Linked DNA regions of Ovis aries. The main gene of each other region encodes a partner of the protein of the gene in region 2 in a complex. Links are inferred from orthologs where the notes say so. Each region holds a gene or a part of one and is shown on either strand. Other genes may lie near its edges.

Region 1 (9,858 bases), on a different chromosome or scaffold from region 2:
AAAGTAGCTCTTTGGGGCTAGCAGAAGAAAGGAGCAATGAACTAGAAGAGAGTTCAATGCAAATTATGCAATTTGAAGAACAGATTGTGAAAGGAATGAAGAAAAAAATGAATAGAGCATCAGACAAATATGGGACACGACTAGGTGCACCAGCATATGTGTAATGGGGAAGCAGAAGTGGAGATAGAGAGAAGAGCCAAAAAGATTCAAAGAAGTAATAGCTAAAATCTACATGTCCAAGAAGCTTAACCAACTCCAAGCAGGATAAATGCAAAGAAATAGATACCTAGGCACATCATAGTCAAAAATGTTAAAATCCAAAGAGAAAACCTTGAAAGAACAAAGAGAAAAATGACTAATCTACAAGGTAACCCCAAGGTAACTAATATTACAAGCAGTCTTCTTTTTTTGGTTCCATTGGGTCTTCATCGCTGCTCACTGACTTTGTCTAGTTGCAGTGAGCGGGGGCTACTTTTCCTTGCGGTGCACATACTTCTTACTGGGATAGCTTCTTTCATTGTGGTACACAGGCTCTGGACACAGGGGCTTCAGTAGTTGCAGCACTCGGGCTCAGTAGTTGTGGCTCAAGGGCTTTAGTTGCTCCTTGGCATGTGTGTCAGGAAGCATTTAACAGGAGGCTTCCTGTGTGCTGTTCTGGATCTGTCAGGAATCCTCTGTTCCTTATAGGCAAGCCTCTCCCGGGGCTCAGGGATCCAGGCATTTCCTTCGTTAGTTTTTCAATATGGTGATAAGTACCCTCTTCTTCTTATGAACCATAGGGTAAAAGTGATTGTTTACAACTCTCTCTTTAATATGGATCGCCTATGTTTTGTAAGTCTGGAATTTTAATCTTTATCTTTGCTGAGAATAACTACAGTATATATGCCCACACCATGTTGATTAAAACACCTTTGTTCCATCAGAGCTTTGGTCCCATGTCTTTCTTTCTCTCTCTCTCTCTCTCTCTCTCTCTATTTCTGGCTGATTTCCTGGAACACAAAAGCCGGCTGCAACCCAGGAAATATTAGCCTCTCTCCTTTCACTTTCTCATCATCGATTCCAGACCACCAGGTTCTGGTCCATTAAAGGACATCAACACATGTGGAATCTTCCCGGACCAGGGATCAAACCCTTGTCCTCTGCACTGGCAGGCGGATTCTTATCCACTAGGCCACCAGGAAAGTCCCAAGCAGGCTTCTTATCATAAACAGTGGGTCCGGAAAACAGCTAAAATTTTACTCAATCATGAAACTCTGTATACTTTGTACCCATGATCTGTAATAAAACAATGTCTGCTCTTGCTACTTCTATTCAATATTGTACCTGAAATTCTAGTTGGGAAAAGTAGGCAAGAAAAAGAAATAAAAAGCATCCATATTGGAAAATGTTGACAAAAGAAAGGACAAGTAAGTGGTTCAGTGGCAAAGGATTCACTTGCAGTGCAGGAGACTGCAATGCCGAAGATGCGTGTTCGATCCCTGGGTCAGGAAGATTCCCTGGAGAAGGAAATGGCAACCCACTCCAGCATTCTTGCCTGGGAAATCCCATGGACAGAGCAGACTGTGGGCTACAGTCCATGGGATCCCAACAGTCAGACAGGACTTAGTGACTAAACCACAATTTAAACAGTGAATTATTTCTGGGAAGGTCACCTTGAAGGGAAGGGAGGATGTCTTAAGCAGATTACCTCACTAGGGCTGACCAGGAAAAAAAAAAAAAAAAAACCTCACAGACTAATTGGCTTAAAATTCGATTCCTAGGATAGCCTGCAAGTACAATTAGGTTAGATATTAAATATCAGTGGAGCTTAGCACAAGTCACTCCATTTTGCATTGATTGTTTCCTTTTTAACAAATAAAACCATCTCTATTTGCAAATGTCATTACATAGAAAATCCTAAGGAACCAACTGAAAAACAATTAGAACTAATGTTTCACGAGGTTACAGGATAGAAAATCAATATACAAAAATAAATTGTATTTCTATAGACAAGAATGAAATAAATAACTTCATTCACAACAGCCTGAAAATAATAAAAATACTTTGGAACAAATTTAACAAAAGAAGCATAAAAATTGTACTCTAGGAAATGCAAAGCATTGTTGAAAGAAATTAAGGAAGACCTAAATAAATGGAGAGACATCCAATATTGACTCAAAGCTTGTGCTGGATTCTCAGCATGGCCCTGTTCAGTGCTCTCCTGCAGCTCCCATCTTTCTCTTCCACCCTCTCTCACAATCCAATAACCCAAGATTCATGAAGGAAATATTGGCAAGATGGATAGTTCAAGCTTCCCAAAATTACACAAGTTTTTTTTAAAAAATACTTATTTATTTGGCTGTGCAAGGTCTTAGTTACTTAGGATCCAATTCCCCAAGGTAATTGAACCTGGCCCCCTACATTGGGAGCCTTGAACGTTAGCCACTGCACGACCAGGGAAGTGCAATGCAAGACTTTTAAAACCAACTGTACTTGACATGCCAGGAACTCTTCCTAGGAGGCAAGGGCATCTTGGGACAAATCCATGATGTCATTGTCCTTCTGGTATTCTAAGGGCTAAAGAATAAAAGAGACTAGTGTTAGTCCTGCAGTCCTATCTGACTCTTTGCAACCCCATGGACTGTAGCTGGCCAGGCTCCTCGGTCCGGGATTTTCCAGGCAAGAATACTGCAGTGGATAGCCATTCCCTTCTCCAGGGGATCTTCCTGGAATCAAACCCAGGTCTCCCACATTGCTAAAGAAAATCTTTAATGATGGTCCTGTGAAACTGGATAGGGCTCTTCCCTATATAAACATTCTAGCCGCTTCTCTTTGAATTCACATCCGGGTTTCACCATTCTTACTATGTAAGCCGAGACCCTAGTAATCATCCAGGCTCCACCTACCCGAATAACCATCCTGATCCCACCTTCTTAGCTAACAACCCTGGCAACAAATATTCAAGCAATCCTCCAAATTTCCTACATCCCTCAAATAAAACATAGATTTTGCCCCTCATTTTAAACCCTTAGGCCCACCCTACGCCGTGCTTCTCCAGGATTCCAGGTCCTGCTCTCTAATTAGCCGGGTTTTAGTCACTAAGTCTGCCTGGAAAATCCCATGGACGGAGGAGGCTGGTGGGCTGCAGTCTGTGGGGTCGCTAAGAGTCGAACACGACTGAGCGACTTCACTTTCAATTTTCACTTTCATGCATTGGAGAAGGAAATGGCAACCCACTCCATTGTTCTTGCCTGGAGAATCCCAGGGACGGGGGAGCCTGGTGGGCTGCCGTCAATGGGATCGCACAGAGTCGGACACGACTGAAGCGACTTAGCAGCAGCAGCAGTCATTAAATCGTGTCCGATTCATACACTATAGCTACCCCATGCGCTATATAGCCCGCCAGACTTCCTCTGTCCATGGGATTTGGCAAGAATACTAGGTGGGTTGCCATTTCCTACTCTGGGAGATCATCCCACCCAGGAATCAAACCCGGGTCTCCTGAATTGAATTACAGGCAGATTCTTTACCCACTGAGCTACGAGGGAAGACCAGTTAGCCTATAAAACCTCAACCTATTATTCCTGACAGTTCCAGCCACACTCCCAGTGCGTTTATAGACTCCGCCCCCTTGACTAACATTCCAGGCCTGCCCCTCAGCCAGTGCCCGACCCCAACCCTCTCCAGGCACGGCCTCCTCAGAAATACCACTTGAAACTCCGCTGACGAAAATAAATATCAAGCTCCGCACCCACAGCTACTCTTGCAGCGTTCAACTACTCCAATAACCCTCTCTATGTCACCTCCTAGAGGAATATTCTAGGCTAAAACCAGGACCCTCCAATCACAGCCAAGCGCGGGCCTCCATATTCACACTCATTGGTCCCACCAAGAGAAGTGAAGTTGCTCACTCGTGTACGATTCTTTGCGATCCCATGGACTGTAGCCTACCAGGCCCCTCCGACCGTGGAACTTTCCATGAAAGAGTACTGGAGTGGGTTAGCCATTTGCTTCTCCAGGGAATCTTCCTGACCCGGGATCGAACCTGGGCCTCCCGCATTGCAGGTAGACGCTTTACCCTCTGAGGCACCAGGGAAGCCCTCACACCAAGGTGGGTAACTAACAATCCTGGGCCCGCCTCCTCAGAACCACCCTCCACTCCGACCACGCCCCCGGAAGGCCACGCTCCGTCACTGACCCTCTTTGGGGCGCAGGCGCACGGTGGTGCCGGCCCTGCGTACCAGCGCCGCCACGTCGGCCGCAGCTCGGGCCGCCAGGGGGCGAGCTTCCAGCCGCGCCAGGAACTGTCTGGCGCGGGGGCCCTCGGGCTGGGGACCGCCACCGCCTGCGCGAGTGAAAAGAACAGATCAGGGCCCACCCTGAGTCTCAGCGAACCCTCACGGCCCCCTACGATCAAAGACCTAGAATTCCCCTCAAGATCCCCGAGACCACTCCTTTTCAGAGTCCCGAAGGTCACCGACTGTGCCTTTCACCTCCCTGGACCCCCGACTATCACGGGAATGCCCGTGGACCCCCGCCTGCTCCCGCGATATCCCTGGCGAGCTATTTAACTCCAGCACTCCTGGACACCTCCGAACACCCTGTGAATATCTCTGGAGGTTTCTGACGGGCCCCCCCCGACACAACCCCAGATTCCAAACTCTTCCCCCCAATATCCAGAAGGACTGCGATTCTCCCAGATGTCCCAACAGAACACGGTCTGCTCCCTGTGGCCCAGGCACTCCCGATGCCCCTCTAGATGTCCTAGGTAACCCTGCTGGTCCATGTAGCCCCAGATGGCCCCTCCACCTATCCCCAGAGGCTCCAGCCTAACCTCCCACAATCCAACAGACACACACCCCCCCCCCGATTCTAACAGCCCCCCCCCCCCCCCGCCCAGTGCCCAGGTGTCCCCAGTGATCCTGGGCAGAACCCTCCAGCACATCTCCCCGGAGACTCCTGGGAGTCCCGGGGTCTGGTGCGCCGCCCCGCGGCGCAGGTGTGGATGGGGGTGCGGCTCCTCGAGCCCAGCTGGGGTCGCTGGGCCGCTGCCCTCCACCGCCGCCGCCGCCGCCGCCGCCGCCGCGGCTCGGGCGCCAGGGCGGCTTTGTTTACCACCTGTCAGAAGGAGAAGGTGAGGAGCAGACAGGAAGTGTGAGGGCTGGCAGGGACGTGCCCACTACCCTCCCACCCCGAGCCCGGTACCTCCTTTGCTTCCCCTAGGGTCCGTGCCGCCCCCCGGGCGCCGCTCCATGACCTGTACTTGGCCTGGTGGACGCACGGCCGCCCGCAAACGCGTTGGGAGCGCTCGGGAGCGCTCACCTGGTGGCCAGCTCGGGCCTGGACGTGGCTGAAGCCGGCCGGTCCCGTGCTCAGCGCCCCAACCAGCGCGGTGACCTACCTGGCAGCCGCCAAGGAGTCCTGGCCCTGGGAGCCAGCGCGCACTCTTGGCCTCGCCCTGCCTCAGCCGCTGCCTCTCTTTCCCATCACCAAGGGAAAACTCTTTCCACCTCGGGGATGTTGTTATTCCAGTGTCAGAGGGGAAAGTCGAGGCCCAGAGAAGTTAAAGGCCCCACCTGAGCTCTCACAACTAAAAATGGGGTGCAAAACCGGAACCCAAGTTTACCGAGGTGTACTGCAGCCTCCAACAGAGCTTTCCACATCTTACGTGGAAAGTCGCTCAGTCGTGTCTGACTCTTTGTGACCCCATGGACTGTAGCCTGTCAGGCTCCTCTGTCCATGGGTTCTTCAGGCAAGAATACTGGAATGGGTTGCCATGGCCTCCTCCAGGGGATCTTCCCCACCCAGGAATCGAACCCGTGTCTCCTGAGACTCCTACATTGGCAGGCGGATTCTTGACCACTGAGCCACCTGGGAAGTCCCTTCCACATCGTAGACAGTCAGTCAATCTGCACTGAATGTTTCCCTGCTGGGGAACTGGAAGAGTATGGTGGCCTGAGGAGTGGGGGCACCCTGAGAGTCGTTGGGAACCCTGGGAGGTATCAGGGCCCTGAGCATGATAGGGTTGGTGGACCCCCAAAGTAGGGAAGGGCAGGTCTCCTGGAGAGTGGAGGGGCAGTAGGAGCCTGGACTTGAGGAAGCTTTGAAGGCATAGGGTGTGTGTTGGGGGCGGGGACACTAGCCAATGAGAGGGGAGTAATGAGGCTCCCCCTAGGTTTGAAATGGGGTGAGAGTGTCTGGAGACAAAGCCCCCAAGATGGAAGCCCATGGGCAGAGTGCCACTCTAGTGACAGGAGGAATGGGGAGGGGTGAGAGAAGGCCTGTGGCCACCACTTTGTGGAGGAAAAAACAGACAAAAGATGTGAACACAAACTTTACCAAAGAACATATACAGATGGCAAATAAGCATGTGAACCTCGCTTAATATGATTAGTCTTTAGGTAATACAAGTTAAAATCATGGCAAAATGCCACTACACACATATTAGCATGGCCAAAGTTAATTAAACGTCTGACCATACCAACTGTATGTGAATTTGTCCAGGAAATGGGACTCTCATATACTGCTTCCAGGTTCAATACTTGTTCAGGGAACTAAGATGCCCCGTGAGGCAAGAAAAAAAATCGAACGCCCCTCTTAGTTGTAGACATTCCTGAAAATAATCCTTTTGCCCCTTTTAGCATCACTTGGTTCACGGATGTAGGTCAGTCCCTCTAACAACCCCACCCAATTCTGATTAATTTAAGCAAATCTTTCTTTTCTTTAGGAGATTGCAGGTTAATTGACATAAAATTTGATAGGTTTTGAACCTGTGACAAAACCAGTTTCATTTGCTTAACATGCAGCAAGTCAAAGGATGAGACACCAAGATCTGCAGCAGAGAAAGGAAAGTGCCTCCCAAAAGGCACAGGGCTTGAGATATTTATGAGATAAAGAAGCAGGGTTGTCTTTGACCCAGGGAAAAGTGATTAGAGGTAGGGAAAAGGTGACCTAACAGGTGTTCTGTGCAGGTGTATATGAGTTTTATGCGGCTTCAGGGGATGCATGTGCAAAAATGGAGGTGCACCATGATCTGAAGGTGGACCATGTGATGTGAAAAGGTTATTCATCATACTCCTGTGCAGGCCCAGTTTGGGGTCGGTGGTCCCAACCAATCTTAGCCAGTTTGAACTGGACAATATCTAATTCCAAGTTCCTGAAAAACAACACAAAGCCCTCATTATTATAGCAACCCATATGTCAGAGGTGTGATAACACCTATAGATAATAGGGAGTGGTGAAGGAGTCAAAAATAATTAAGGCATGTACTCTTTATATAGGTACTGTTTATATAAGTACTGTTATATGTACTCTTTATATAAGTCAGTGAAGGCAGGTTACAAAGCAGAGTGATCTTTAACAAGCTGTTCCCAAATCTGCCGTTCTGTAAGACAAGCTCAAGAATCTCTGTCACGAGAACAGAAACATTGACCCTATGGGGCACAGTTTCAAAGTGTTTACATCTGTGAGACTATCACTACACTCAAGACAGGGAACATAATCCTCACTGCCAAATGTTTTCTCCTGCCCCGTGTGAGTCTTCTTTCCTTACTGCTGTCCTCCCCACCCCTGACACTGATATACTTTCTTCCACTGTGTATCAGTTTGCACTTTACTTGTTCAGTTGTTCAGTCATGTCCAACTCTTTGTGACCCCATGGACTGCAGCAGGCCTGGCTTCCCTGTCCTTTACCATCTCCCAGAGCTTGCTCAAACGCATGTCCATTGAGTTAGTGATGCCATCCAACTATTTCATCCTCTGTCATCCCCTCCTCCTCCTGCCTTCTATCTTTCCTAGCATCAGGGTCTTTTCCAATAAATTGGCTGCTCTCATCAAGTGGCCAAAGTATTGGAGCTTCAGCTTCAGCATCAGTCCTTCCAAGGAATATGCAGGGTTGATTTCCTTTAGTATTGACTGGTTTGATCTTGCAGTCCGAGGGATTCTCAAGAGTTTTCTCCAAAACTACAGTTTAAAAGCATCAATTCTTCGGCGCTCAGCCTTTTTTATGGTCCAGTTCTCACATCCATACATGACTACTGGAAAAACCATAGGTTTGACAATACAGATGTTTGTTGGCAAATAACGTCTCTGCTTTTTAATATGCTGTCTAGGTTTGTTATAGCTTTTCTTCCAAGGAGCAAGTGTCTTTTAATTTCCTGTCTGCAGTCACCGTCCACAGTGATTTTGGAGCACAAGAAAATAAAGTCTGTAGTCACTGTTTCCCCACCTATTTGCCATGAAGTGATGGAACCAGATGCCATGATCTTAGTTTTTTGAATGTTGAGTTATAAGCCAGCTTTTTCACTCTCGTCTTTCACCTTCATCTAAAGCTCTTTGCTTTCTACCATAAGGGTGGTATCACCTGCATATCCAAAGTTATTGATATTACTCCCAGCAATCTTTCGGAGAAGGCAATGGCACTCCACTCCAGTACTCCTGCCTGGAAAATCCCATGGATGGAGGAACCTGGTAGGCTGCAGTCCATGGGGTCGCTAAGAATAGGACAAGACTGAGCAACTTCACTTTCACACATTGGAGAAGGAAATGGCAACCCACTCCAGTATTCTTGCCTGGAGAATCCCAGGGACAGGGGAGCCTGGTGGGCTGCTGTCTATGGGGTCGCACAGAGTCGAACACGACTGAAGCTACTTAGCAGCAGCAGCAGCCAGCAATCTTTATTCCAGTTTGTGCTTCATCCAGCCCAGCATTTTGCATGATGTACTCTTTATATAAGTTAAATAAGCAGGGGGACAATATACAGCCTTGTCGTACTCCTTTCCCAATTTTGAACCAGTCCATTGTTCCATGTCTCGTTCTAACTGTTGCTTCTTTTCCTGTATACAGGTTTCTCTGGAGGCAGGTAAGGTTGTCTGATATTCCCATCTCTTTAGGAATTTTCCATAATTTGTTGTGATCCACACAGTCAAGGCTTTAGCATAGTCAGTGAAGCAGAAGTAGATATTTTTCTGGAATTATTTTGCCTTTTCTATGATCCAATGGATATTGGAAATTTGATCTCTGGTTCCTCTGCCTTTTCTAAATCCAGCTTGTACATTTGGAAGTTCTTGGTTCACATACTATTGAAGCCTAGCTTGGAGGATTTTTGAGCATGACCTTGCTAGTATGTGAAATAAATGCAATTGTGAGTAGTTTGAACATTCTTTGGCATTGCCGTTCTTTGGGATTGGAATGAAAACTGACCTTTTCCAGGGCACAAACAAAACCTTGTGTGCCCCAAGACCCAGGGAAAGGAGCAATGACCTCCACAAGAGACGGAGCCAGACCTGCCTTTGAATGTTTGAGTGTCTCCTACTGAGGCACAGGTCAGCAGTGGCCTGCGGTGGGGACAGGGCCTCTGGCAGCACCAGTCCTAGGAGGTGCAGCATGTGGCATAAGTCCTCTTGGAAGAGGTCACCATTAGCCCACTATAGAGCTGCACAACAGGCGACCCACAAACTGGAAAACAATTATGCCAAACAATTATGCCTCGCACTGTTAGGAAAGTTCTAGGGCTCACAACAGATTTCCCAACCTGGGTATCCTGCAAAGGGACTGATTTAGGAGGGAATTTGATTCCCAGGGAATTTGATTTAGAAGGCCAGTGGGATTTGATTACCGAACTTCTACAGGACTGGTGAAACAGAAACTCTTGGAGGGCACAAAGAAAATCTTGTGTGCACAAGGACCCAGGAGAAAAGAGCAGTGACCTCACAAGAGACTTAGCCAGACTTGTCTGTGAGTGTTTTCAGTCTCTAGTAGAGATGTGGGTCCACAGTGGCCTGCCACCGGGTCAGGGACACTGACTGCAGCAGTCCTGGGAGGTGCTGCATACTGACATATGTCCTTTTGGAGGAGGTCACCATTATCCTTACATAGTTT
Region 2 (9,524 bases):
AGAGCTCACAGGGCAGGGGTAGAGATGGAGCACCCTTGCCATCTCCACGGGCAGGGTACGCTCTCCTTGACTCCTTCCTGCCCCCTGGAGGCTCCCCCATCTCCCAGGGAGACCCAGCCCCCACTGCATTTCCAGCACCTCTCCCTCCTGTTCCTTAGGTCCCTGCCCCTTTGTTTACAGCTCCTGCTGCTTCTCTTGACTACAGCCTGGTTTACAGCCCCCCACCCCCACCATCCCCAGCCCCACCTGCCAAAGTCCTGGGTTTACAAGCCACGCCTACTTGCGTGTCCATGTAGAATCCTCTTCCCTGTCCCCTGAAGTCCCCGTACTGGGGGGACCCGGGGTACGGCTTCCTCCATTTTTGCTCAGTATTCCCGTGTCTCACTTTCCCCGAAGAGGGAAGGCTGGGAATCTTGACTCTGTATCCCCCTCTAGTTATTTAATTCTGTTCCTCCTGGTGGTTCACAATTGAATTGAATTGCGAGGAGGGTGTGAGGTGAGTCATGAGGGACCTCAACTCTCTTCCCCCCGTGTCTCCTTCCTTCTCAGTTGCCTGGGTTTTTGTTTTTCGTTTTTATTTTCTGTAATAAAATGGAGCTCTCTCCGACTCTCCTGCTGCTTCTCTTTCTTTTGAAAAAGGGAATGGGGGTGGGGGAGGATGGAGTGGGTTCTGGGTTCCTCATTCCAGGCCTCTCTCACCTTCTTACTAGCCATAAAGAGGAAGCAGCCGTGGCTGTGGGAGGGGAAAATATGACAGGGAACCAGAAGCTCAGCACTGACCGTGGAGAGTGGGTTCTGGGAGAACCTGGCACTGGTCTCTCCAAGGACCAACAGGAGAGGGACTGGGGAGTTTTTGTTGTTGCTTTGGTTTGGTTTTGTTCTTGCTGTGCCTCTCAGCTTGCGGCATCTCAGTTCCCCAACCAGGGACTCATCCTGGGCCTCCATGATGAAATCATCAAATCTTAACCACTAGACCACCAGGGAACTCCCTGTTTTGTTTTCTCTCTTTTTTAAAAAAATTAAATTAAAAATTGTTTGGACTTCCCTGGTGGTCTGGTGGTTAAGAATCCGCCTGCCAATGCAGGGGGCACAGGTTTGATCCCTGCTCCAGAAGATGCCTGCTGCAGGGCAACTAGGCTGGTATACCACAAATACTGAGCCCGGGTACCTAGAGTCCATGCTCTGAAACGAGAAAAGCCACCACAGTGAGAAGCCCTCCTGCCCACCTCAGCAAAGAGTAGCCCCCACTTGCTGCAACTAGAGAAAGTTCATGCACATTGAAGACCCAGTGCAGCCAAAAATAAATAAACTATTTAAAATGATTTGAAAATAATTTTTTAAATTATTATTTTTTTAAGTCTAGGGCTGGTTTGAGAAAGGACAGTTGGATCATCCACCACACTGGACATACCATGATAATAAACAGTCGGCTGGGTTCACTGCAGCATCCCCATGCCTGGCACCTGATAGACACACACAATTATCTTTAGAATGAATGGACGAATGAGCAGATGAAAGGAGATAAAAATTTGGAAGCAAAGGACACTCTGAATTGAAAGATTCTGGTATCCAGAAGCCTAGTGCAAGGCAAGCAGCCAGAGAGTGTATGATTAGAAGTGGCTAGCTAATCCAGGGGATTTTACTCCAAGACTCAAGACTATAAGTAATAAATCTCTTGAAACTGCTGCAAAATAGTACAGAGGGGCAGATTCCTGAAAAGGGTCTTCTCTGATAGACAACTGGTTTTACATTCCTAAAGTTTTAAGAACCATAGATAATTCATGGCTTTGTGGCCCAACTATAGTTGGCACTGGGACACTTTCCTGTTTCACTGAATTTGTATCTTCTACGTGTGGAATATTTACATTTTACTTATCAGATTTTTTTTTTCCAGTTCTCCATGCTAATAAAGATATGGCAGATATAGTCCTATCACTACAGGAAGGTCCTCCTTTATTAAAAACAAAATGTATTAGAAAAATTGATTTTAAACACATGCCAGATATGTTCCCAGCAAGGGAATAAGCAAGGTGTCAAAAGAATAAGCCACTTCAGAGAGGGTGTGAGTATGGAGGGAGAGTACTCACATTAGTAGCTAATTAGGTAAAGACCCTAATTAGTTTTGACCCAGGAAAGCAGAAGTAAGAAGCTCTGAGATGCCAGGGGTGTTCACAGTCCATTTCAGAAACAGAAAACAGTGCACTCATGACATCAATGATGTGGAACTACTTGTGGCTGTTAGTTGGAATAACAAATGTTTAGTTTCCCAACACAGTGTCAGATAAATCCAATTAATTGTACAAGTATGAAGCAGAACCAGAGGCCAGACAGCAGTCAAGCAACAAGTTCTGCTTATTTAAAATTAAGCAGACACCAGTGACTTTCTCAAGCTGTTAGCAAAAGAAAAAAAAAGCAGAATACAATTTGCATATTTCTTAGTTTGCAGATCTTTTAAAATAACATTATGAGATAGCACCAAGAAAAGAGGGTACCTTTGCTTGTTCTCCACATCTTGAGTTTTCATCTGCCTGGAGTCCTTGATAAGCCTAACCTGTATTCATGTCTTGCAGAAGGTCCTAGCAAAGGTCACTCCTAATTAGTTGATCTGTAACAAGCATGGACCTGATCTTCTAATTTGAATGCCCCACCCCACAAGCGCCCACACACACCTTGCATTATTTTTGGCTCCATATAACTTAGTATTTTATATTTTTATCTTGTCTCTGTCAGGCTGGTCCCCACCCCCAACCCTCTGCCACTGTAAATTCAGTAAGCGATTTGTTTCTGATTTGTTCCTTGCTATATCCCTGGGTACTAAAACTGTGCCTGGCCCACACTGAAAGTGTTGGTCGCTCAGTTATGTCCGACTCTTTGTGACCCCATGGACTGTAGTAGGCCAGGTTCCTCTGCCCATAGAATTCGCCAGGCAAGAACACTGGAGTGAGCTACCATTTACTCCTCCAAGAGGGTCTTCCCCACCCAGGGATAGAACCTAGGTCTCCTGCATTGTAGGCAGATTCTTTCCTACCTGAGCCACCGGGCATTTTGCTGCTGCTGCTGCTAAGTCGCTTCAGTCGTGTCTGACTGTGTGACCCCATAGAGGGCAGCCCACCAGGCTCCCCCATCCCTGGGATTCTCCAGGCAAGAACACTGGAGTGGGTTGCCATTTCCTTCTCCAATGCATGAAAGCGAAAAGTGAAAGTGAAGTCGCTCAGTCGTGTCCGACTCTTCGCGACCCCATGGACTGCAGCCTACCAGGCTCCTCCATCCATGGGATTTCCCAGGCAAGAGTACTGGAGTGGGGTGCCATTACCCACCTGAGCCACCAGGCACTTTAGGTTCTTAATATAGTTGAATGAAATGAATGGGTGTAATACTCACGAATGATCAACAGAGGGCAACAGAAATTCAGTAGGGGAAGAAATGAAAATGTTTTATTCCGAGCTTCGCGTACAATTACGCGAGATTTGAACTCGCTCGGCCACCGTAGTGCATAGGCCGGAAAAGAGCAGCCACTTCCGGCCTCAGCGGTCCAGGAAGATTGTTTTGGACTATCGGAAACCGAACCCCTCGGTTCTCAGGCAGCTCCATTCCGGAGCAGAGGCTCCATCCTGGAGCTCTAGGCCCCCGACCCGCCCGGCCGCCGACGTGGCAGCTGGAGACACTTTCAGGGCCGGGAATAGGGAGCGTGTTGTCGCCATGGCGACACCGGCGGGGCTGGAGCGCTGGGTGCAAGACGAGCTGCACTCGGTGCTGGGACTGAGCGAGCGGCACGTGGCCCAGTTCTTGATCGGTACCGCGCAGCGCTGTGCCTCGGCAGAGGAGTTCGTGCAGCGCTTGCGAGACACCGATACCCTGGACCTCAGTGGGCCGGCCCGGGACTTCGCCCTGAGACTCTGGAACAAGGTGCTGGGAGAGGCGGGACCGGGCGTGGGAGCGGCGGGAAAGTGGGTGGAGCAGGGGAGGGGCCCCCAGGTTACTTGTCCAACGGAGTTTGGGCTCACTTGGGCTAACTGTCCAACGGAGAATTAAGCTCAGTTTGCAAGCAGTTATCACTTTCGGGCTGGACGACCACTTCCGTGGAGAAGGTTGAGGAGGGCTTAAGGGTTGACTCATTGGAAAAGACTGATGCTGGGAGGGTTTGGGTGGGGGCAGGAGAAGAAGGGGACGACAGAGGATGAGATGGCTGGATGGCATCACGGACTCAATGGACGTGAGTCTGAGTGAACTCCGGGAGTTGGTGATGGACAGGGAGGCCTGGCGTGCTGCGATTCATGGGGTCGCAAAGAGACGGACACGACTGAGCGACTGAACTGAACTGAACTGAACTAAGGGTCTACAGAGCAGTGTTTCTCAAACAGGTTTAGGATTCATCCACGGCTTTTGTTAAAATGAGGATTCCGATTCGGTAGGTCTGGGATGGTTTCTTCATTTCTTCATTTCTAACAAATCTTGTAAGTTTTCGGGTGATGCTGGGTGTTGCCCACCCTTCGAAGAGTGAGTCTATAGAAGAGATGTGTGGGCAGTGTTGTGGGAGGGTAGAAGTGGTGTGGCTGTGATCGAGAAAAGCAGGCCCAAAGATTATCTGGAGTTTGTTGGGTAAAGAAAGGGGAAGAGTAAAGGTGTAATGGTGAGCTCCTGGAAGGCAAGACTGTGATTTTTGTCTTTGTATTCATACCATCTAATTGTAACCTGCAGAACAAGAGCTCAGAAATTATACAGTAAGACTAAAAGTGTTGAACTTGTTCATGGCAGATAACTTGGTGTGGCTGTCCCATTTGCACTTGGTGAAAGATGAGAACGTACTTGATGTGAGGGTAGGAGCTCTGTGTTAATCCGTTCACCAGGGTATCTCTGGAGGCCACTACAGTGCTGGCCCGTGACAGGGCTCTGCAAAACAATCTGGACAATCCTTGTCCAGTCCTTGGGTAGGAATGACTTAGTCATCGGGAAGAACAGAGGCTGAGCAGTTGAGAATTGAGTGTGAGAATGTAAAGTCCATGAGGGCAGAAAGTTTTATCTCTTTACCCCTATATCTCTAGTACCTAGCAGGGGGTGCATGGGATAGGCTTAGGAACTGAGAGACCCCATTCGGGCTGATGGACATGGTGTGAAGCCTTGGGGAAGAGACAGAATGACAGCTGGTTTAAGATCAGTTACTCCTTAAATTAGGAACTGGGCAGAGTAGGTGGGCAGAGATCAGGAGTTGCTTACATCCCCTTGACTTCTCTCTCTCCCGACAGGTCCCACGGAAGGCAGTGGTGGAAAAGCCAGCTCGGGCAGCCGAGCGAGAGGCCCGAGCCCTGCTGGAAAAGAACCGCTCTTATATGTTGTTGGAGGACAGTGAGGAGAGCAGCGAGGAGACTGTGGGCAGGGCTGGGAGCAGTGTCCAGAAGAAGCGGAAAAAACGGAAACACCTCAGGAAGAAACGTGAGGAGGAAGAGGAAGACGAGGAGGAGGAACAAGTTTCTGAGAAAGGAAAGAGGAAGACAGGGTAAGTCAGAAGTAGGGGGCGAGAGGGTGATGGAACAGGAAGCCTCTGAGTGCCCTCAGTTAATCCTCCGGGGTGGGCTGCAGGGAGAAGAAAGAGCAGACGGAAAAGCCGGAGTCGGAGGATGAGTGGGAGCGGACAGAGCGAGAGCGCCTTCAGGACCTGGAGGAACGCGATGCATTCGCTGAGCGGGTTCGGCAGCGGGACAAGGATCGGACTCGCAACGTCCTGGAGCGGTCAGACAAGAAGGTGCATTGGAGCAGCACTTCCCATCAGTCCCCAGGCAGACCCCTGGATCCGATCTGAGGTTGGGTGTGACCGCAGATAGTGATCTCTGGGAAGACAAGGAGCCGCCTCCAGTAGTCTGGTCATCTCTTTGGGTCTTTGGGCTAAGGTGGCTCTCTGCTGAACCTGTAACCACAGAGATTCCTCAGTGAAGGGGGTACATTTCTTTGTGCTAGGGAACATCTGAGTGATCCTTGTGATTCTAGACAGGAATGGCTGTGGGCACGGGGACTTTGACCACTCTTGCCTTCTCCTAGGCTTACGAAGAGGCTCAGAAGCGCCTCAAGATGGCTGAGGAAGACCGGAAAGCCATGGTGAGTCCGTGTGCCCAGGAAGACAAAGGGAAAGGCTTCCTGATGGAGTGGTTAGGGTAGGGAGGAAAGATGCAGAGGAGGTGTGGTGGGGCTGTTGGGTCTCTGGTTGAGGCGCCAGCTAAGGATAGACTTAAACTGTAGTGGGAAGGAAGTGGCCCAGAAACCCTCTGACTCCTTAGGATCAGATCAGACTGTATGTTAGTGAGGGAAGTATTTCCCTGTTCCTGGGACTTAAAGAGGTGTACTCAAAAGGCAGCTGGAAGGTCAAGGGGCTGGCTGGAGGACAGGGGCAGGGCAGGGGTCACACTGCCCAGGGATGTGCTGACCGCTGAGCTTGTGCACACCATCTCCCGGTACCTTCCTATCATCTAATCCCTCCGTTTCCCCACCCCGCCTCCCCCTCCCCTGGGCTTTGTGATTACCCACTGATTTTCAGAGTTGGTCTTCTCACTGTACAGGGACTGGGCCCTTAACGATTCATGCCCTAGACTTGTTACTGGGGAGCCTCGGTAGGGTTGCAGTTTTCTGAAGGCCTGGCCTTCCCATGTCAGTCACGCTTAGATTTCCCCCAAAGAATTTCGAGACTCTTGGTGTCTTAACAATGCCTTAGTGGCCATCGGGTCCCCCCGATGTATCCATCTCAGGTTACACCCCAGAAAGTGACTGTAGCCAGAGACTTCTGAGATGTCTCTTGGTGCTGATGTAGTATTTTTACTTGCTTGAACTTTTCTTTCCTTTTTCAATTATGAAAATCTTCATAATTTACACAAATAGGAAAGTTGAAAGAATAGCATAACAACATCCATCCAGGCTTTTTGGATTAAAAAATTGCTAATACCACGTGCAATATTTTCAGTGTTTGTGTAAATGGCAGCTTTTTGGTCCTTTTTGAACCATATGAAAGTTTTAGACATTGTGGGATTTTATCCCATCAGCACGTCCCTGGTGCCTGTAGACATTCTCACACATTGCACTGTCTTAGCCAAGAAGAGGGGTCTCATGTATCAGCTAAGAGTCGGCCCACAATAAGATTTCTTCAATTATCCCAAAATGTCTTTAATAACTGCTTTTCCAAACTGGAATCCAGTCACGTTTCATGCGTTGCATTTGAGTGTGAGGTCTTTTCAGTTTGTTTCATCTTCCCCTTCTCTCTTTCTTTCTGTCTTATCTTGTACGGCATGTCCTACATTCTGGATTTATCTGATCCGTTATCTTGTGGTGTTAAGTTCTGTCCCAGTGCTTACTTTAAAGTGGAAATTGGGTCTTGCAGCTCTCTTAGACTCAGATTAAATAGCTGTAGCAGCAGCGCCTCTTGGGTGGTGGTGTGTACATCCCATGGTGGGGCGAGGGGCGGGTACTGTCCAGCGGTGTGCCTGTCAGGCTGAAGGAGAATTTGATTGTGGTACTCAGATCAGGTCATGAGCATAAACTCCATTTTAGTGTATCATGGAACAAAAAAACCAAGCAATTAAGTATTGAGCTGGCCAAAAAGTTCATTGGCATTTTTTCCATAAGATGTTACAGAAAAGCCGGAATGAACTCTTTGGTCAACCCGATACACTCGGCCCCCGAGGGGAGGGCCCCTGGCAGATTTTGAGTGTCTCAGTTGTTTTCAGTTGCAGACCTCTGCCTCCACATCGTCATGTTTTCTCCCTTTACACTGAGTCGAATGAAATAGCGAGGGTAGAATAGAAAATATGCACATAATCATCCTGGTGAGTCGATGTTGGCAAAGATGGTGAGGCTGCCTGGAAGGACCGTCCGAGCTGCTGGCAGGCAGCGTGTGGGCCCTACGTCGGGCTCCTCGTTAGGCTGTTCAGTGTAAAGGGAAGGGCGGTGGAGGTCACATCTTTAGGTTCTCCGGGCCGGCCTGCCCAGGAGGTTGTGCCTCTTAGGGGGACAGGGGAAAGGGGTCACTCTTCTAGCGAGGGGAGGCTCTGACTGCCCTGGCCTGACCCAGGTCCCTGAGCTGAGGAAGAAATCCCGCCGAGAGTACCTGGCCAAGCGGGAGCGAGAGAAGCTGGAAGACCTGGAGGCCGAGCTGGCCGACGAGGAGTTCCTCTTCGGGGACGTGGAGCTGAGCCGACACGAGCGCCGGGAGCTCAGGTACAAGCGGCGTGTGCGGGATCTGGCCCGGGAGTACCGGGCGGCTGGGGAGCAGGAGAAGCTGGAGGCCACCAATCGCTACCACATGCCCGAGGAGACCCGAGGACAGGTGAGGCGAGGGGTCACTGCTCCAGCCCAGGTGCCCGAGCGGAGGGAAGGGAAGGCTTTGGGGACTAGGGCGGCGGCTTGGCTTGCCCTCTCTTGTCTTGCCTTTCTCTGTGGCGGTAGCAGCTGGGGAGGGGGCGCTGGGCAGAGAGGGCAGCTCTGTCTCCATGTCCCCCTGTCTCCATGTCCCCCTGTCTCCGTAGCCTGCACGTGCAGTGGATCTAGTGGAGGAGGAGTCCGGCGCCCCTGGGGAGGAGCAGCGGCGCTGGGAGGAGGCCCGGCTCGGGGCAGCATCCCTGAAGTTTGGGGCCCGAGATGCTGCCTCCCAGGAGCCCAAGTATCAGTTGGTGCTGGAGGAGGAGGAGACCATTGAGTTTGTCCGGGCCACTCAGCTCCAGGGCGATGAGGTGAGAGTGGGGGGCACAGGGACGTCCTGAGGAGGCCGGCGCCGGCCCTGATGCTTACGGCCCTCTCCCTCCTCCTTAGGAGCCGTCGGCCCCGCCCGCCCCCACTCAGGCCCAGCAGAAGGAGTCCATCCAGGCCGTGCGCCGCAGTCTTCCTGTGTTCCCGTTCCGCGAGGAGCTCCTGGCCGCTATTGCGAACCATCAGGTCCTCATCATCGAAGGCGAGACGGGCTCGGGCAAGACCACCCAGATCCCACAGTACCTCTTTGAGGAGGTACGGCAGCCACGCCCTCAGTTGCCACTGACCCGAAGCTGTGCTGGCAGCTCCTTGTCGTGGGGTTTTATGTCATTGCTTTCCATTTTCGTCTCACTCCGTTAGTCTTTTCTGCTCGGTCCTTCAAAGGAAGGACCACACCCTTTTCCCGTTTCTGTTCTCACTTCCTGCCACGGGGTCCATGCCTGGGGGGCGCGCTGTGCCTTTGAGGCGGCAGGAGGTGGAGATGGATAGATGGCATGTGGGTGTGATCGCGACCCCGCGCTCCACCAGCCTCGCCTCTGCAGGGCCAGGGAATGAGGACTGAAAAGACCTCGCCTGCTTTTATGCCTTCCTTTGTTGCCCTTGCTTTGGGGTCTACCCAACCAGTCAGTCCTTTTTCAGCTCACATCTCACAGAGCCCTGAACCTGATGACCCAACAGGCTGGGACTGCCAGGGCTGGGTGAGGACCCTTTGGGAGCTCCAGATCTGCCATCCTATCTGTTGATCTTTGTCTGGTTTTCGACTTCTGTCTGTTCCTCCGTTCTGCCCTGGCCTGCATTTC
Region 3 (9,527 bases), on a different chromosome or scaffold from region 2:
CCTGAATGGTAACTCCTCTTCCCTGACTTTCCTGACAACTCCCTCCTGCTTCCTAGAAATAGAAATTTTCTATTTCCAAGGAGAAAAAGCCTGACAGGTGCGGTCCTCTGGCTACTAAAATAACTTTCCAACTAACTTACCGTCCTCTATCTTTCTTCTTTTTCTTCTTCTTTTGCTTTGGTGTTGGTGAACGAGAACTGCTAGACTCCCGGACAAGGCTGAGTGAAAATGAAAAGAAGCAAAGATGGGTGCTAAGATGGATTTTCTGAGACATTTCAACTTCAGAACAAAATCTGAAGAATATGAAAGAAATAATCCACACACAAAAAATGGAGCAAAGCACTTAGAATTAGGAAGAGAAACTGACACTAATCTCATGTACCTGTAAGGTTTGGGAGGCTCAGGAGCTGGTTGTTTAGCTTCCCGAGCACGACGCTGGGGATCAAAAGAGCTGCCATCCACATAGGAATCACTGATGCCAAAGGCAGCTCGGAGTCGCTCATTCTTCTTCTCATTCAATTCTGCCAACTGGTGAGTCTCAGTTACCCTAGAGGAGAAAAAGTCAAAGGTCTAAAGGAGATAGACAACAAAACGCAGAGCCATATTCACACAATTGCAGGCATGGACCAAACAGCCATGAGAAAAGGCAGACAAGAGCAGGGAGAATGTCCACAGTAAGGAGAGAAAACAGCAAAAGCAGAAGAGAGTCCAGAGAAAATGGAGAGGGAAACACTCACGCTGGCCTCTGCCCTGGGTTCTCCTCCTTCCCCCCAGGGTTCACATCCTTCTCCAGCAACATGAGTCGAAAGGTCGCCACTTTTTCCTGAATTTGCTGTTCCTCGTACCTGAAGAACAAAAGCCTTCAGGGTTAGAGCCTGACCAGACACTCTCCCCAGACCTGGGTTTACAATTCCCTCGTTCCCAGCAGGACCCCTTCCCTTTCCATGCACACATTAAATGTTTCACTCACTGTCACCCAAAGGGCCCTCCTATCAAATTCTGCTCTTTTCCTGTAATCTTTCTTCCCTCCACTGACTACACCCTCTAGAACAGTGGATTTTAAACATGCTACACTCCAGGGCCAAAAGAGGAAAGTTAAGCAGGCAGAGTTCCAAGTGTTCCTCCCCAACTTCAATCAACATGAACAGGTCTTTCATTTCATGGGATTCTGAAGTAACGTGCATTGTTAAAAAAACAAAACAAAAAAACAAAAACAAAAACAGGGGGGACGCCACTGCTGAAGTTTGAAAACCACTGCTCTAAAAGGTTTTCTGCCTGAACATGCTCGTTTTCCACAAATTTCACTTCCCTACCCAACTCATGATCCCCTTTATCCAGGTGTTATTCCAATTTCCTGTCTTCCTTTGCTACTCTCCAAGGCCTCGACCCTCACATCCATTCACCTTCCTTTTCTCTACCAATGACGACAACATATCAGCTTACCAAGCTCTTGTGTCTTGCCTAGTCTGCTTCCCCACCTCTCCCTTAAAGCATGTTTTTCTCAATGGCCCCTCTCTTTCCCCCTGTGCCTTCATCTAAATAATTCAGACTCCCTCAGGCTCCCTTTTATGTTCCAGACACAGGTTCCACTTTGAACTGCCCCTCAACTCCTTTCAATTTGCTAGCTTCTTTACCACCTCCCCTCCTACAACTCACTCCTCTCCAGGCCTCTTTCAACTTGCCCAACACTCCCTACAGCCCACCTAACTCCCCAGCTCTGCACTCGCTGGGTATGTGGCTCTCCCCCAGACCTCCCTCACCCCTGCTCCTCCATCATCTCCTCCAGCTCGAGGCATCGCAGCTCCACGCGCCGCTTGCGCTCGTGGTCCAGGATGTCAGGATTAGGCCGCTTCACCAGGGCAGCCTCCAGGCGCCGCAGTTCCTCCTCTCCCTTGTAGTCAGGCCGCTCACCCCGGCGGCCCCGCACCAGGGACAGGTTGCGCTGGACGTAGCCGTTGGTGCCGCTGCCCCGGGGCGTCGGCAGCCCGATCCCGTTGTACATGGCCCCGTGCCCGGGGGGGCACCACCGCTCCTGAGGGGGAGCGGGGAGACACGGGTCAGGCCCCTGGCCCCAAACTAGCCACTCACCACCACCCAAATCCCTGCTCTTCTTCAACCCTACTTCAACAGGTCTCTCCACACTAAACCTCCTTTGGCTGCATAATCCTCCTGGTCTCCTAAACAAACCCTTCCTTCATCCTTCCCTCACTTTCTACCAAATCAAGACCAGCTCTTACAGTCTTTACCCTCAGTGTGCAAGAGCCACTTCTGTTTGTACCTAGCTTTTCCTTACCCACCCCCAAAGATCCCATTTCTCCCAAATTTCTCCACACTATCCCTTTATTCTACTTTGAACCCAATATGCACAAGTGATATCTTTACCAACTACTCTGATTCCTTGGCAACTGACTGAGGCCTCCAAACAGGGCACAACAAACACCAACAAAAAATAAAAACAGAGAGAGAGAGAGAGAGATCTGTGGCACACAAGGGCCTGCAGTCAAGTCTAGAGTCTTCCAAGAACTGACCTAGGCATTTCAGGCTAGCTACCCTGAACGTAGCCAGAAATTATGACTACAAATTGACTCGAGAACCCCTTGATATCCAAAAGGAGGCCTAACCTAAAAGGCCAGCACGCACTACAGAAACACATGAAGCCTGGATACATAATCCTCATATACATCATCTCTCAGGTAAGAGGCATATCAACTATCCTGACTGATATGTTATTTCTTCAATTTCCTTCCCAATAGGATTTCTCACATGGTTTGTGGCTCACCCAAGTCTCCCTAGCTCCTACGAAAAGATTGCGTTTCCAACTCAAACTCTCTATGTATCAAAGCAGTCTCCTCTAGTCCAACTGTTCCCCATACCTTCTCTACATCCTTTCCCTACACTTAGTCACAAAAACCCCACTCTTTCTCCCTCACCTTCATTAAAGTCAAACTGCTGACTTTAACAGTCCCTTCATTACCTTACTGCCTAGTTTTTCTCATCCAGCCCCACATGACTCTGAAGAAACCCTCAAATGCTAGTTTTTTTCTGATTAGGTTTCTTGACTACACAGACTATTCCTTTCTCCTGCTCTATGTACTTTTTTTTTCCTCCAACTCCTCCTGTCCAAGATAGTTTCACAAAGGAAATGTGTGAGTGAAAAGGACCCCAGGAAAAGAACCCAAGGAACAAAGTTGAGATATTAGTGAAGGCAGAAGAAAAAAAACACAGAACTGGATAAAAAGAAAAGTTCCATTTAAAATACTCTGGAAGAAACATAAACACCTGGGAAAATGTACCAACCTCCCCCTTTACAGGTAGATGTTGAATGAAAAGAAGACAGCTCAACTCTAGAACAGTTTGGTACCCCTTCCCCCCCAACTCTAAGGCTGGGTCCCTACCCAATCCCAGTTGCAGACTCTAGAGATCTGAAAACAAAACAAAAAAATAACCATATTGGGGTAAAGGATGATGCTAAATCTAGGAAAGGCAAGTGGAACTGTGTGAAACGAAAAATTTCTTTATAGTACAAGAAATCTTCCAACCTTCACGTTTACTTTCTCAAAATTTCTCCTTGCTCTTAAGCTAGATTTTCTCTGGCTCTCTATACCCTACCTAGTTTCTGCTTCCCTAGCAGAAAGCTTCTGACCTGCAATTAATTTTTCAGTTTAACCATTCACCCACACTTCCATACCACCTCACACAATAATCCTCCCACTCCCTGGAAAAGGATAACCAGCAGCTGCTAAGCAAAGGGTATTCAATCACAACAAACTACTTTTAGAAAATGACCCAGCAAAGAAAACAAACAAAAAACAGAAATACCATGGCATCCAAGACAATGCTCACAAAGGACAGATAGACAGGAGGAGTGTATCGATAATACATATACACAAATCACCAAAACCCAAATGGAGACACTTAAACTAGGATCCACGGACTACGGGCATGCAAAAGTCACCAAAGCTAAAGGCAGATGAAAAGCAAGCTGCAAAAGAAGATAAAAAGCATTTTTCTGTTGGAGAATTATCACATGTTAAACAAGACAAAAGGAGTCTTAAAATTCAGTATTACGACAGTCAAGGAAAGAAACGCAGGAAAAAGGGAGCGGAGAGTGCAGGAAAATGAAACTAATACGTAAGCACATCAAGTTCAGCACTGGGGCACCACAGTAGCTGACGAGGGACTATGGAACCCAGAAAGCTGAAGTACTAGCTCAGTAAGAGAGTGCCTAGATTCAACACACTCAAAAGGAAACACAACACAACTTTAAAAATTTTTGACCCAAAAGATATCTTACATAAGCGTTTGCGTGAAAACCGAGGTCTGGAAGAGTTTTGAGTCAAATTATAATAAAACCCTGCGCTTTCTCCTCAAGAAAGGGCTGGCAGCCGCCTTCCCAGCTTCAACACAACTTTGGAGACCATGAAAAGGTGCAAGAAAAGAAAAGAGCACGTGGTCTGCCTTAACATACCTAGACTGAGTACTTAATTAAAAACAAAAAAAACGTTTTGAATGCTTCGCTTAATACTTCATGGCAGACAGTAACGAATCCAAACTGCCTAAATCGAGGAGATATCTAGTTCAAGACCTTTTTTGCACAGGCTGAGCCGCCAAGACCTATTTTCGGCCTTGAGGGATGGGGGAGGGGGCTGCGCGGCGCCCGGTAGTCTGGGAGGCTCAGGACCAGACCCCAAGCCCCGGGGAGGGACGGACAGGCCGGACGCCGGCGAGGCGCGGGGCAAAGGAGCCGACAGCCGGCCCCCGCCGCCGCAGCCCCCTCCCCGCAAACAAGATGTCGGCAAGGACAGCTGCAACAGGGCCTCGTCGCCGCACGCGTCTGGGAGACGAGAAGCCCGAGTCGCGCGCTACCCACTCCTCGCCGAGAACGCGCGCGAGCCCAAGTGCACTCGGCGGCGCGCGTCGTTGCCATGGGGGAGGGGGAATAAAAGCCCGCGCGCGACAGGAACCGCGGGAGAGGGGGAGGGGAGGCAGGCGAGCGGGGACGTCCGCGCGAGCTAGGGGCGGCGAGCGCGCGTGCGCGCGGCGGCCTGGGCCGTTCTCCGCGCGCTTTGGCCTGGCGCCGGGGCCGCCGCCCCTCCCCCACCCGGCTCGCTCGCTCCCTCACCCTCTCACCCGCCGCCGCCTCCACCCGCCGCCTCCGAGGGGGAGAGGTGCTGCCGCAGATCGAGCTCCTGAGTCCTTCGGGGCCTGGAGCAGCGGCCCTGCCTCGCCGGTCCGCCCGACTCAGCCGACACCGCCGCCTCCTCGCTTCCTCAGGGGCCGCAGCGGGCTCCGACTGCGCCACTCGCACCCCGCCTGGGCCGCGTTGCACGTCAGCACGACCAACTAAACGCGTCAGCACGCAACCGCGCGCGTCGCAAGGCCCGCCGGGAACCGTAGTACGCTCCGCGGCCTTGTGCGCAGGCGCCGAATCAGCACGGGATGTGTAGTTTCTTGAGTCCCGAAGGAGAGTCAACTCTGTTGTCGATGAACTACGATTCCCGTCAGGCAGTTGCGAGGAGGGTCTCGGGAGCGGCCCGGAGGAAGCAACGCATTCCAGGGGGTTTCCGACGGGGAGCAGGAGGACACAGGGCCTAGCGTCGCTAGCCCTCGATCGCTCCCGCCTTCGGCCCAGAGCATGCTGGGAGTTGTAGTTCTAGTGTGGCGTGGAACCCGGAGGTAGCTTCGCTCTCCCCCGCCCCCACGAGGCCGCCATTTTGTCTCCTCATGTTAGGAGGCAATGGGCCCGAGGCCAATAATACCGCTTCCTCCAAGTGACCGCACGCCTCCCGGGGTGAGCCCGGGGGCTGTGCTGCACCTATCATTCCGGACCCAGGAGTACCCGCCCCCCGGACCCTGGGCGGCGGACACCCGGGTTATCCCAGAGCCCAGCTACAGGCCCAGGGCCTGAGCCAAGAGCTGAGCCAGCAGACCGTGGTGTTCGCAGCTTCCATCCGCTGAACCGGGCTGGCTGCCCCTGAGGAATGATTTTTTTTTTTTTTTATGACTGCGAGTAAGGGGCCAGACAGAGGTGCAGTTTTCTCCTGCAGAACATGAAGCGTGTTACATACGTGGCAGGGTAAAAACATTACAACCCCCACCCCCACCCCGCCCCAAGCTTGTCAGCCCTGTGCAGAATGTCTTAAGTTAATGTTTTTAAGTCCGTTTTGCTTCAGCCTGAGGACCAGCTAGTCTCCCTCGGAGCAGAGTTGGGAGAAGCTGAGTTTTTGAGGCAGGCCAGTCGTCTGGGTTATCTCTGTTTGGGGTGGGGGTGGGGGCAGCTTATACCAGCAGCCACTTAATGAACTGTGGCCCCTTTGACTTTGTATCTGATGTTACTAGGTTTTCTTTGTAATCGTGGAAAGATAACTCACCTCATATGCTGGAGCGGGGCAACCTACTGCTTGGTGTAGGAGCTGTAGCTTTGGCTTAAAGGTGCCAGGGCTGATGTAATCTTACCTTCTTGAACTCCTGGCAAGTGCTTCCTGGAGTTGGATGCACCTTTGGAGTGATTTATGGCAAAGTGGAAAAGCCTGTCCTTTCTGGGCTTAAGCTGATATTTCTCAGGTGAGGGTGAAGGGTGATAGTTTCTTAAAACCCATTACCTTCAGTAAGACCCTTTCCTGTAACCAAATTCTCGATGATATTCTTCCCAAGAGATAGGAGGGTAGGAGGTGGGACACAATCAAAAAATGATATAATATCCTGAGGACCCAAGATAAACACTGATTAGAATTAAATGGGTTCAAGATGCAGACAAGTCAAATTTGACTAGAATTGTCCTCAGTATACACTCATTTTAACATATCAGTGAGCTAGATGACCCATGGAGAGGCCCCATGACAGTTCAAGGCCAACCATCAAAGACCAAAAACTGTGCAGTGGTCCAATTCCTGGAAATCTCTGCCCCTTGCCCAAATTAGTTGGAAGAATCCTCCCACTCATTAGCCTGTGAAATTACCCAGTCCATAAAAGCTAACTACACCACCTTGTGAGGCTGCACTCACCCTCTGAGATGGCCCACACTCTGTGGATTGAGTTTCTCTCTAAATAAATTAACTTTTACATATCACTATCTCTCGCTGAGATTTTTTTTTTTTTTAGTTTATTGATTTAATTGGAGGACAATCACTTCACAACAATGTGGTAGCCCCTGCCACACGACAGGGATCAGCCACAGGTGCACGTTTGCACCCCCGCCCCGCCATCCTGATCTACTGAGTTCTTTTTGCCATGAGACACCAAGAACCTGAGCTTCATTAGGTCCTGAAACCAGGTGTGTAATCTCAGTTGGAAAGCTGTGGGTTAGAGTCCCAAGCAGGGTTTTGGCTGGGTTCAAATCCCAGCACATGGATTCAAGTCCCAATCTGAGGTAAATAGTTTCACCTGTATTTACTGAATATTTTGTGCTAAGTTCTGATTGTGAATCACTGCATTTAATGCTTGTGAGAACATCCTATTCCTATGAGAAAGGGATGAATTATGAGAACTACAAGTTCATTTACATATCCACAGTCTTTGTGCTCTGTTGTTCAGTTGTGTCCAACTCTGCAACCCCATGGACCATAGTCCACCAGGCTCCTCTGTCCATGGAATTTCCCAGGCAAGAATACTGGAGCAGACTGCCATTTCCTACTCCAGGGGGATCTCCCCAAACCAGGGATCAAACCCGCACCTCCTGCATTAGCAGGTGGATTCTTTACCACTGTGCAACCTGGGAAACCTACATATCCACAGTACAGTTTTCAAAATAAAGTAACATTGAAATAATCCACAAACTTTATATAGAGGTGTTATCCATTGTTCTGATAATATCCTGAATAGCAAAAGAAAATTCAAAATCATAAATGTTGTGTTCTTAGACATCTTAATCCAGAAGGGTTGCAGATTCTTTGTAATTCGTGGCATTACCATCTTTGAAGAGTACAAGCCATTTATTTTGTAGAAGGTCCCTCAATGTGGGTATGTCTGATGTTTCATCATAGTTTTAAAATGCAGGTTACACATTTTTGGCAGGAAGACCAGGGAAGTGATACATGTTCTCAGTGTACAGTAGGAAGAGACACGTTCTGCCCAGTAGCTGCATTACTGCCAACACTGACTTTGATCTGATTCAGGTCATTTAGTGAAGAAGGAGTGAACCAATTTTCTCATGAAATTTCTAGTTTGTGAAAGTGAAAAGGTGTAAAAGTGTTTGTTGTTCAGTGATGTCCAACTCTTTTCAACCCTGTGGACTATAGCCCACCGTGCTCCTCTGTCCATGAAATTCTCTAGGCAAGAAAACTGAAATAGATAGCCATTCCCTTCTCCAGGGGATCTTCCCAACCCAGGGGTCAAACCCAGGTCTGCATCGCAGGCGGATTCTTTACTATCTGAGCCACCACGGAAGCCCCACTCTTTTATATCTGAGCACCTAAATTGTTTCCAGTGTTTTGTGATCACAAACCATGCTGCAGTGAGTAACCAGGTGCATACATATTTTCATATTTGTCGGGGTGTATATCTTCAAGGTAGGCTTCCCAGGTGGGTCAGTGGTAAAGAATCTGCCTGTAATGCAGGAGACCGGGGTTCGATTCCGATCTGGAAGATCCCCTGGAGGAGGAAATGGCGATCCCTTCAGTGTTCTTTTTTTTTTTTTTTTTACCCTCCAGTATTCTTGCCTGGAAAATCCGATGGACAGAGGAGCCTATTAGGCTACAAGGCTATAGCGTTGCAACAGTATCTTCAAGGGAAATTCCTAGAAGTTGGATTGCTAGGGCAAAAGGTAAAGACAAATGTAGTTTTGTTAGTAAGGACTGATCCCTCTCCGTAAGGGTTGTACCAGTTTGCATTCCCACTGGCAGAATATGAGAGGGCCTGTTCCCCACTGCTTCACCAACGGACTGCCTCGCAGTGCGTTTCCGTTTTGGCTAACCTCATAGGTCAGGAGTGTCACTACAGTGTAGCTGTTTTGTGTGTGGTAAAGTGCACATGAATATAAATTTTACCATTTAAACTAATTTCTGAATGTACAATTCTGTGGCATTAAATACATTCATGGTGTTGTGCGACCATCACCACTATCCATTTCCAGAACTTTTTCATCCCCCAACTCTGTACTTGTTAAACAATAACTACTTCCTACCCTCTCAGTTCAGTTCAGTCGCTCAGTCGTGTCCGACTCTTTGCGACCCCATGAATCCCAGCACGCCAGGCCTCCCTGTCCATCACCAACTCCCAGAATCCACCCAAACTCATGTCCATCGAGTCGGTGATGCCACCCAGCCATCTCATCCTCTGTCGTCCCCTTCTCCTCCTGCCCCCAATCCCTCCCAGCATCAGGGTCTTTTCCAATGAGTCAACTCTTCGCATGAGGTGGCCAAAGTACTGGAGTTTCAGCTTCAGCATCAGTCCTTCCAGCGAACACCCAGGACTAATCTTTAAGATGGATTGGTTGGATCTCCTTGCAGTCCAAGGGACTCTTAAGAGACTTCTCCAACACCACAGTTCAAAAGCATCAATTCTTCGGCGCTCAGCTTTCTTCACAGTCC

Evidence for each region. Proteins that work in one complex are often made in the same cells at the same time.
Region 1: DHX16 (region 2) and GPKOW share a complex: the UniProt entries of both Homo sapiens proteins name them as parts of the minor spliceosome. The link is inferred for Ovis aries from reciprocal best matches to the Homo sapiens genes DHX16 and GPKOW.
Region 3: DHX16 (region 2) and SRRM2 share a complex: the UniProt entries of both Homo sapiens proteins name them as parts of the minor spliceosome. The link is inferred for Ovis aries from reciprocal best matches to the Homo sapiens genes DHX16 and SRRM2.

Annotation. Positions count from the first base shown.
Region 1 is NC_056080.1:55,984,474-55,994,331, reverse strand, and holds the start of GPKOW (G-patch domain and KOW motifs-containing protein), read right to left. Parts: upstream 5,338-9,858; 5' UTR 5,185-5,337; intron 4,325-5,184; 5' UTR 4,178-4,324; intron 2,557-4,177; 5' UTR 1-2,556. UniProt on the Homo sapiens protein: RNA-binding protein involved in pre-mRNA splicing. As a component of the minor spliceosome, involved in the splicing of U12-type introns in pre-mRNAs.
Region 2 is NC_056073.1:27,449,378-27,458,901, forward strand, and holds the start of DHX16 (pre-mRNA-splicing factor ATP-dependent RNA helicase DHX16), read left to right. Parts: upstream 1-3,543; 5' UTR 3,544-3,699; coding exon 3,700-3,906; intron 3,907-5,243; coding exon 5,244-5,494; intron 5,495-5,577; coding exon 5,578-5,740; intron 5,741-6,033; coding exon 6,034-6,090; intron 6,091-8,050; coding exon 8,051-8,305; intron 8,306-8,504; coding exon 8,505-8,708; intron 8,709-8,787; coding exon 8,788-8,979; intron 8,980-9,524. UniProt on the Homo sapiens protein: Required for pre-mRNA splicing as a component of the spliceosome. Contributes to pre-mRNA splicing after spliceosome formation and prior to the first transesterification reaction.
Region 3 is NC_056077.1:2,803,979-2,813,505, forward strand, and holds the start of SRRM2 (serine/arginine repetitive matrix protein 2), read right to left. Parts: upstream 5,338-9,527; 5' UTR 5,131-5,337; exon of another isoform or gene 5,123-5,130; intron 4,776-5,122; exon of another isoform or gene 4,295-4,775; intron 2,033-4,294; 5' UTR 2,003-2,032; coding exon 1,761-2,002; intron 846-1,760; coding exon 738-845; intron 548-737; coding exon 383-547; intron 219-382; coding exon 141-218; intron 1-140. UniProt on the Homo sapiens protein: Required for pre-mRNA splicing as component of the spliceosome. As a component of the minor spliceosome, involved in the splicing of U12-type introns in pre-mRNAs.